2 linked regions of the Mus musculus genome follow. The protein of the gene in region 2 interacts with the protein of the main gene of each other region in a pairwise test. Links are inferred from orthologs where the notes say so. Each region holds a gene or a part of one and is shown on either strand. Other genes may lie near its edges.

The links. The genes of interacting proteins can lie anywhere in the genome.
Region 1: the proteins of Sufu (region 2) and Rcn3 interact in binary tests that used the Homo sapiens proteins (3 or more experiments, as listed by UniProt). The two-hybrid records come from large-scale screens. The link is inferred for Mus musculus from reciprocal best matches to the Homo sapiens genes SUFU and RCN3.

What each region holds. Positions count from the first base shown.
Region 1 is NC_000073.6:45,085,814-45,089,213, reverse strand, and holds part of Rcn3 (reticulocalbin-3 precursor), read left to right. Parts: intron 1-513; coding exon 514-716; intron 717-2,376; coding exon 2,377-2,549; intron 2,550-3,400. UniProt on the Homo sapiens protein: Probable molecular chaperone assisting protein biosynthesis and transport in the endoplasmic reticulum.
Region 2 is NC_000085.6:46,398,729-46,404,507, reverse strand, and holds part of Sufu (suppressor of fused homolog), read right to left. Parts: intron 3,385-5,779; coding exon 3,250-3,384; intron 1-3,249. UniProt on the Homo sapiens protein: Negative regulator in the hedgehog/smoothened signaling pathway. Down-regulates GLI1-mediated transactivation of target genes. Down-regulates GLI2-mediated transactivation of target genes. Part of a corepressor complex that acts on DNA-bound GLI1.

The DNA of each region.
Region 1 (3,400 bases), on a different chromosome or scaffold from region 2:
TCTAAGTACACTGTAGCTGTCTTCAGACACACCAGAAGAGGGTGTCAGATCTCATTGCAGATGGTTGTGAACCACCATGTGGAAATTGAAGGAACTCAGGACCCCTGGAAGAGTAGTTAGTGCTCTTAACCACTGAGCCCTATCTCCAGCCTTCTTTTTCTTTTTTTGTGTGGGTATTTTTCATGTGTGTCCATTAACCATTAACATGTCTTGTGCCCACAAGGGCCAAAAGAGGATAATGGGTTCCTGCATCTAGAGTTAGAGATGCTTGTGACCTGCCTCGTGGGGCTCATGGGAATCAAACCCAGGTTCCTACAAGAGCAGCCAGGGTTCTTAACCGCTGAGCCATCACCAAGTCCCCATTTTTGTCTTATATAGGTACAAGGGTAACTCTATATATGACAGGGAGGGGCCTAGGTGGGCGGGGTCAGGGTTGAGATTGACTGCGTCTCTAACTGTAGGGGCAGGGCCTCATTGGGCAGAGCCAGAGACTGACATTCATTCCCCTCGCAGGCGGATCGTAGACCGCATGGATCTTGCTGGGGACAGCGACGGCTGGGTGTCCTTAGCTGAGCTCCGCGCGTGGATCGCGCACACACAGCAGCGGCACATCCGTGACTCGGTGAGCGCAGCCTGGCACACCTACGACACGGACCGCGACGGGCGCGTGGGTTGGGAGGAGTTGCGCAATGCCACCTATGGCCATTATGAGCCCGGTATGCCCACCTCGCCTTTGCCCTTTGACCTCGCTTTTAGGATCTTATCCCTGATACCTTCCCTCCATTTCAAATGTCATTTGCTCTTCCTTCTGAAATCCAATCTATGTGACAAGTTGACTGGAGACTTCACATTCGTGGCAGGAATACTTAATGTTTAACCCTGTTATCCAGACCCATATGTGGCACTGGTGTCTTAGCTAGGGTTAATATTGCTATGATGAGACACTGTGACCAAAAGCAAGTGGGAGAGGAAAGGGTTTGCTTGGCTTACGCTTCTACGTCTGCGGTCCATCACTGAAGAATTCCCTATAGCACTGGTTCCCCACCAGTGGGTCACAACCCCTTTGTGAGATACTGTGTCAGAGATACTGTGTTTCAGATAGTTACACTACAAGTCATAACAGTAGCAAAGTTATAGTTATGAAGTAGCAACACAATAATTTTATGGGGGTCACCAGAACTTACTGGGCTGTATTAGAGGGTAGCAGCATTAGGAAAGAGACCATAACAGCCTTACCTATGGCCCAGTCTTAGGGAAGCGTCCTCTCAGTTGGGGTTCCCTCCTCTCAGATGACCCTGACCTCTGTCAAGTTGACATAAAATTAGCCAGCACACCTGGTTAGCAGTCTTCCTCAGTCTCAGCACTTGAGAGGTGGAGGCAGGGGGATAGCCCAGAGCTCAAGGATAGGCATAGCACAGGTGACTCTGTCCATCCTCCAGGGACCTTAGGAGACAGACATCTACCTCATTATTAGTCTCTCCCACCTTCAGTGTTGTGTTGATAGGGTTTCTACCCCAAAACTTTCTTCTGTGGAGTCCAGATCTCCTCAGTTCCTCAGTTCTCTGCACTTTACATATGCTGTTCCTCCTCCGGAGAAAAGCCCTTCCCTGCTGTCTGTCATGGAGTCAGAGCCAGTCACTTACTGTATCAGAAAAGAGCTTCGGGGCTAACCAGGCCAGTGTCCACTCCCAGTCAATGTCATTGTACATTCAGAAGAGTGGACAAATGGAAAAGGCCATGATCTGGCTTTGTGTGAGGATCAAGTGGAACATTGTAGGTGACAGGACAGAAAGCAGACTGGGGAGTGGGGATGGTGCAGCTCCCCTTTAATCTCAGCACGTGGAGGGAGAGGCAGGCAGGTCTCAGTGAACTAACGGGCTACCCAGTGAGCTCCATGTTAGTCTGGGCTACATAGTGAAACCCCATCATAAAAACAAAAGATTGTAGATGAAGACTATTGAGGACATTCTCAGGGCTGCGGAGTTAGTCTGTGACGCCACTGACTGTGTCATAGCCGATACAGGAAACTGAGTATATTACACATGAAAATTATTATTCTACATCTCTAGGGACTGAACCCAGAGATAGGAAAGGCTGAGCCACACCCCAGCCCCTCACTGGGGGATTCTAGGCAGGGGCTCCCTGCTGGGCTGACAGTCTTGCTTAGTTACCCAGGCTGACCTTGAACTTGCAATTCCCTTGCTTCAGTCTTTTAAGTATCGTGAATGACAGACCTGCCCACACACCCATGATGTGGCTGACACATGTCCCTTCTTACACTCTGTGGCAGTCCTTCCACTAGCTGGGTCCTTCTGTTTCCTAAGTCCCAGATCTCGCCTCTGTGACCACACATTCACCCACATCTGCCCTCCCCAGGAGAGGAGTTTCATGATGTGGAGGATGCCGAGACCTACAAGAAGATGCTGGCTCGGGATGAGCGGCGATTCCGGGTAGCCGACCAAGATGGCGACTCCATGGCTACTCGGGAAGAGCTGACGGCCTTTCTGCATCCGGAGGAGTTCCCTCACATGCGGGACATCGTGGTAGCAGTGAGTAACATTGTGCAGAACATGTTTCCCAAACCTGTCCTGGGTCCCAGCATCCTTCACAAGGATTCCGGGCCCCCACCATGTCTAGTCCCCATCCAGTGCCTGGCACCTCTTTATCAGACCTTCCTGTGTTCCATTAGGTGTCCAATCTCCAGCCTGTCCCCAGGCAACCATATCCTAAGAAGAGACTCATGTGAACACCAATTGTGTCCAGGCCCAGGAGAACACAGTTTATTTGAAATGCACATGTAACACGCTGTGATCTAATCATATCTCAGATACCAGACATGGAATGTACTTACTGGAAAGATGGCTGGGCGTGCAGGTGCTGTAGAGGCCACAAGAGGGCGCTGAACCACCTGGACCTGGAGCTACAGGTGGTCATGAGCTGCCCACTGGGTGCTGGGAACTGCACTCAGGCCCTCTGTGAGATAGCACATACTCTTCACCGCTGGGCCATGGCTCCACTTCTGGTTGCTATTTGTTCCTTGAAACTGGGTATTGACCAGGATGTGGGGCTTGCTGGTCAGATTAGCCTGGCTGACCAGCTCTCCCAAGGCATCCTCCTGTCTCTGCCTCCCCGGCTCTGGGATTATAAGTGTGTCCCACTAGCCCATCTTATGCAGGTGTTGAGTAATGCAATTCAGGTCTTCATGCCTATGTGGTAGCTACAGGGATCTTGTATGTTTGCTTTGTCTCTTGGGGTCCACTGCTAATCGTGATGAGCATTGAGCTCTTGAACTTGAGGAAGTGGAGTCTGTCTGTTTGTCTGTCTGTCTATCTATCTATCTATCTATCTATCTATCTATCTATCCATCTATCTGGGTTTCTGAGGCAGGGTTTCTCTGTGT
Region 2 (5,779 bases):
GTGCGTGTGTGGATGCATGCGCGCGCGCACACACACACACACACACACACATACAAATCTTTCTTTTTCTTTCTCTTTCTCTTTCTCTCTCTCTTTCTTTTTTTTTTTTTTTTTCTTGAGAAAGGGTCTCTTTATATAGCTCTGGCTGTCCTGGAACTAACTATATAGACCAGGCTGGCCTCCTGGATGCTGGAAATAAAAGTATGTGCCACTACATGTTGGACACTTTCTTAATTATTAATTAACCCAGGAGGGCCCAGCATTTTGTGGGTGGTACTACCTTGGCCTGGTGGAGCCAGGTGCTAGAAGAGAGCAGGCAGAACAAGTCAGGAGGAGCAAGCACTCCTCCATGGCCTCTGCATCAGTTCCTGCCTGGTTTTAAGTTCCTGCGTTGGCTTCCCTCAGAAACTAGGATTCAGGATATATAAGCCAAATGAACCCTGTCCTCCCAAGTGCTCTTGGTCATGGGGTCTCATTGCATTGTAACCCTGACTAAGACAGTATATGAGGATGAATATACGCACTGTGTCAAGAGTATGGAGATGAGAGATCAACCGTGGGGCTGGTTCTCTGCCCCACTGGGTTCTGGGGAATAAACTCAGGTCGTCATCAGCCTTGGAGCAAGGGCCTTTACCTACAAAACCATTGCGCTGGCATTGAGTTGTTTAGTGCACTTCCTGCTCTCCCAGCATCAGGTGGCTCACAACCGCTGGGAACTTCAGCTCCAGCCGACCTAGCTCAGCCTTGACTACAGTGAGCTCTAGGCCAGCCTTAGCCACAGAGCGAGAGCCTGTCTCCAAAACCCAAAGAGAACACATGGCACAGACTTTACTTTCTCCACTGTAAATACTGTAGGGCAAAGCTCCCACTCAGGCGAGACTGAGTCTGCCCCCAAGGCTTCTGCTGGCCATTTGGAAGGACTGAAGGCAGACAGTAGACACTACACCCCATGTGCTAGGAAAGACAGGAGGCCTGGCCTCGGACACTAACAACAGACAGAGAGAGCTAGCCTGGGCCTGTGGGCAAAGGGTTGGTATGGTATGGTGCAGTGACCTAAGAGTGCAAACTCTGGACTCAGTCTAAGAAAATCCCAGTTCCTTTATAGCCTAGATTCAAGGCTTAAGTAACTCAGTTTCCTCATCGATAAGACAGCAACAAACAACAAGATAACGAGGGAGACCTCTTACACTACCCTTCTATCTGGGAGGTGGTACTTAGCCTAGGCCAGTTGAAAAAGTAGCAAGGCTCAGCCAGGTGACAGTGTCACAGGCCTTTAATCCCAGGTGGATCTCTGTGAATTTGAGGCTAGCTTGGTCTACGGAGTGAGCTCCAGAAGAGAGAGGGCTACACAGAGAAACCTGTCTCAAAATCACAAACAAAAAAGTCGCAAGGCTCCTCTTGTCCTGACTCGGTAGAGACTGTCTTTGGAGATGGTTGTATGTTAATGAAAGCGATCATAGTTTTCTTCCCAGTTTGTTGTAGTTCTTCATAGCTTCCATGTTGCTGTGTTAATAAATATTTTCACATAGTGATTCCAGGCGTGTCAGGACTACATACTAAGAACTTGCCTTTAAAAACCCTAGACTATAGGCTATTTATCTGAAGCTATAGCTCCATGACACAGCATTTACCTACTATGCCTGAGGACCTGGATTTGATCCTGAAGGAGTCTGACCTACGGAGCCAGCCTGTCTACATGGAAATCCTGTCTCTGAATCAATCACCCAATCAATCAATCAATCTTGGCCCTCATACTGCTCAGAAAAGATATTGTGTTATAGAGGCTCTTTATGTTTTCACATTACTAAGTGGGGCAAATATTATCACCTAGTAGATTCAAAGTGTTATGCAGAAAATTAAATTCATTACTGTCACACATATATAAATGGCTACAAGAGTACCTGGTGCATAATCAGCGATTAAAAAATGTTGTTAGCTTTTATAATTATTCTAATTGTAATTTTGGAGGATTAAATACAAAGTTAATTATATTCTACTTGATATCAAAATGTGTGTTGGAATTAAAACATATATTAGTTGATTATAAAGAGAAATTAGGGAGTAAGAAAAATTTTAATTTTCTATTATTTTATGTGTCTGGGTGTCTTGGCTGAATGCATGTCTGTGTGCCTATTGCTTATGTCTACTGCCTACAGAGGTCAGAAGAGGACACTGGATCTTCTGGAACTAGAGTTAAAAGACAGTTGTGGGGGCTGGTGAGATGGCTCAGTGGTTAAGAGCACCGACTGTTCTTCCGAAGGTCCCGAGTTCAAATCCCAGCAACCACATAGTGGCTCACAACCATCCGTAACGAAATCTAATGCCCTCTTCTGGAGTGTCTGAAGACAGCTACAGTGTACTTACATATAATAAATAAATCTTAAAAAAAAAAAAAAAAGACAGTTGTGAGCTGCCCTGTGGGTGCTAGGAATTGAACCTGGGTCCTCTGGAAGAGCAGCCAGTGCTCTTAACCACTTGAGCCATGGCTAAGCCATCTTTCTATCCCTGAGAGGGTGTCTTAGTCAAGTTTCTATTCCTGCACAAACATCATGACCAAGAAGCAAATTGGGGAGGAAAGGGTTTATTTGGCTTACACTTCCATACTGTTGTTCATCACCAAGGAAGTCAGGACTGGAACTCAAGCAGGTCAGGAAGCAGGAGCTGATGCAGAGGCCATGGAGGGATATTCTTTACTGGCTTGCTTCCCCTGGCTTGCTCAGCCTGCTCTCTTATAGAACCAAGACTACCAGCCCAGAGATGGTCCCACCCACAAGGGGCCTTTCCCCCTTGATCACTAATTGAGAAAATGCCTTACAGTTGGATCTCACGGAGGCACTTCCTCAGCTGAAGCTCCTTTCTCTGTGCTGTGTCAAGCTGACACAAAACTAGCCAGTACAGAGGGGTAAGAGGCACAGGGCAGAGAATAGCAGACTGGGGCTAAACATGTGAAGTGGGCAACCCAAGCACGATGAATACAAGTCTGGCAGCACACATCTGCAACCCTGTCACTCGGGAGGATGGAGAGTTCAAGACCAGCATAAGCAATTCCATAAGCCGCCCCTCCACCACAAATTCAACACCAGCTTGGCCTACATCTCGAGTTCCAGGCTGTCCAGCACAGGCAGAAGGTGGAACCAGAGAGGTGACACTGGAAAGTGTCACTCCCACAGAACCAACATCATCACACACACTCAATACAACTTCAGAAATAGGCTTAGGGTTAAGGAAAGGCAGATGGCAGACACTCACTCATGGACTCTGTTGTCACCATAGAGATCACTCAGGCCAAAGCTGATGTAGTGCCAGTGCTCAGGGATGTTGGCAGAAGGACTCCCCATGTTCCTGTACATGCTAACATAGTCCAAGGGGTCCGGACCACCCAACCTGCAAAAGACAAAACACAAGGTGTCAACATAAGCCTGGAAACCAGGAAAAAGCAACTAAGAGGCTCTGTTCTACAAGCCCGAGAGCCCCGTGCTAGGGGAAGCTAGAGTGAGATACCTAAAGGGAGGCACAAAAGGTCTCTGTAGAGATGAGCCAAGGGAAAAGCAGCCGAGGCTGTGTGGCTGGCTCCACGTGTGCAAGATGCTCCCTTCTCTTCCCTCCAACAGGCAGGGCCTCTTTTAGAAAGAAAACAGACGTGGTGGTTGCCCGTTTTGCTTTTGCCTGTTTCAAGTTCTGACTCCAAATGGAGTGAATCTCTCTATGTCAACATGCCAGGCTTCAAGGTAAGGGACATCAGTCAATCAGTAGCTCCTGTTGAATGACTGTCCAGAGCATGCCCAGTGGATATCATTCCTGAAAGTTCAGGTTCCACTCTGCACCTGACTCTTAGACAGCTAGTTTCTAAAAAACTGTACTGTGCCTTCTATCATTGTTTCGTCTGGATATACATAAAGCTGCCAGTCTGCACAGATCGTGGCCTATACGCCACAGATCAAAACTTAGTCGCTGCAAGTGACGAAGGCCAAACATTGGCTCAATCAACTCTGCACAGAGCACTGCAGCGAGAGCCAGGCTGAGCCCCATGAGCACCTACATTCTAAAGAGTAAGCCGGGAGGCACTGGGCTCAAAGGAAGAGCTGGGACATCTCACGATTTGAGGCTCCTAAGGATCACATTAAATTTCCCCATAAATCCAGCAGAGAAGTAGTTGAAGATTGAATTCAACAAAAGCTCTTTTAGCAATTAGTGTTTAAGAAAACCAAAACAAACAGCAACAACTAAAACCTGCGTTCCCTCGGAATGGACAGGAAAACAGCAGACTTGTAAAGCACACTAAATGAAACCCCTCAGCAGAAGAAAGTGTGCAGCGAGCCCATAAACTCGGCATTTGAGCCGCCTCACGTGGACCACTCCACAGACCACAGAGTGGAGTTGGCCTTTGCCTGCCCCTGGAACATGGACAGGAGTGCACTCTGCAAGTGGGCTAAACTACTGAGGGAAAGCTAACGACCAAATAAAAGACATAGTACAAGAGATCCCAGCAAGTGTGCCAGGACCATGCAATTCAAACCCTATTTTAAAACCAGTAAGTCTGGTTTCATCCTCTTTGCCAGGATGTTACTAGCCTTTGTTAAAATCCTTATTCTTGGGGGAGGGGGGAGGCTAAGTTATTTATAGAAGTCATAAGAAAGAAAGTCACTAAAATAGCTTAGGATCTGCCCAAGGGAGTTAGGTAAAGGGACAAATCTCTATGTCTTTAACTGTGATTTCACCAAATCATTTGACTAAACCCATAACCAGCTGGATTTAGAAATGGTTTTGGGATGGATAGAGGAAAGAAAGGGACCCCATTAAGGCTGTAGAACCCTAAAAAAGAAAGATTCCATATTCTCCCCCAACTTCTGCTGCCAATCTCCCACAGCCCTTGATGTGGCCTAGGTCCGTCCAGCAACAAGCAGTCGCACTGTGCTTTCTGTCCTTTGCCCGACTGCTGGCACACTGCAGCTCCCGCAGACAGCCTCCCAAGAGAGGGCACATCGAGAAGAGGCTTTAAGAAGTGTCACAGAATGGCTATGAATCAAGCAAAGTTAGCCATATACTCAGTCAGATGGATGGGGGAAAAAATCAGATTTTACACTTAGGAAGAGATGCGGTCCAAGGGCCCAGGGGATCCCTTACCTTAATTCCCAGAACACTTTCTTTCTTTCTCTCTATAGGGTAGTTAGTTGCAGGACAAGACACCAGGCTCTGCCTCCCTACTTTGATTCTGTCTTGCTCGGCTATCTCAACTATCAAACAGCCAGAGTTTTCCTGGTGGTCAGGGACCACTAGCTAAAATGCTACCCCTCAAACCCCCAAAGAAAGCCCATAACCAGACCCAAGCAGTTTAGTCAGTCATACTGCTGTGAGAACTGAAGGGGCTGGTAAGATCCTACACATGAGGGATAGGAATAAACTTCAGTATCTCAATTCTGCAACTCCCTTTGAGTCTTAGAAAGAACCAGTTCCTAAGCTGGTTCCTCTTAGATTCCTGCATCTAGGTAGCATTTCTTACTTCACAAAGTGTTGTACATGCCTTTTCATTTGTTACCACATTCTGGTCTACTTCTGGGGATACAGCCTCACTGAAAGCTTATAACAGAAAGAAAATAGTATAACTACCCTTGGTCTTTGCTTCCATACCTCTAACAGGCAACTCTGTCTTGATGACCATGTAGGTGACATAAAACCAGGTGCCCCCTATTCTGCACAGGGACTTTCCCTCACACTTAAACAAGATCAGAGCAAACAGTATGGCAAGGTCAGCCCCGTTTTTCTCATGACATGGGACAAG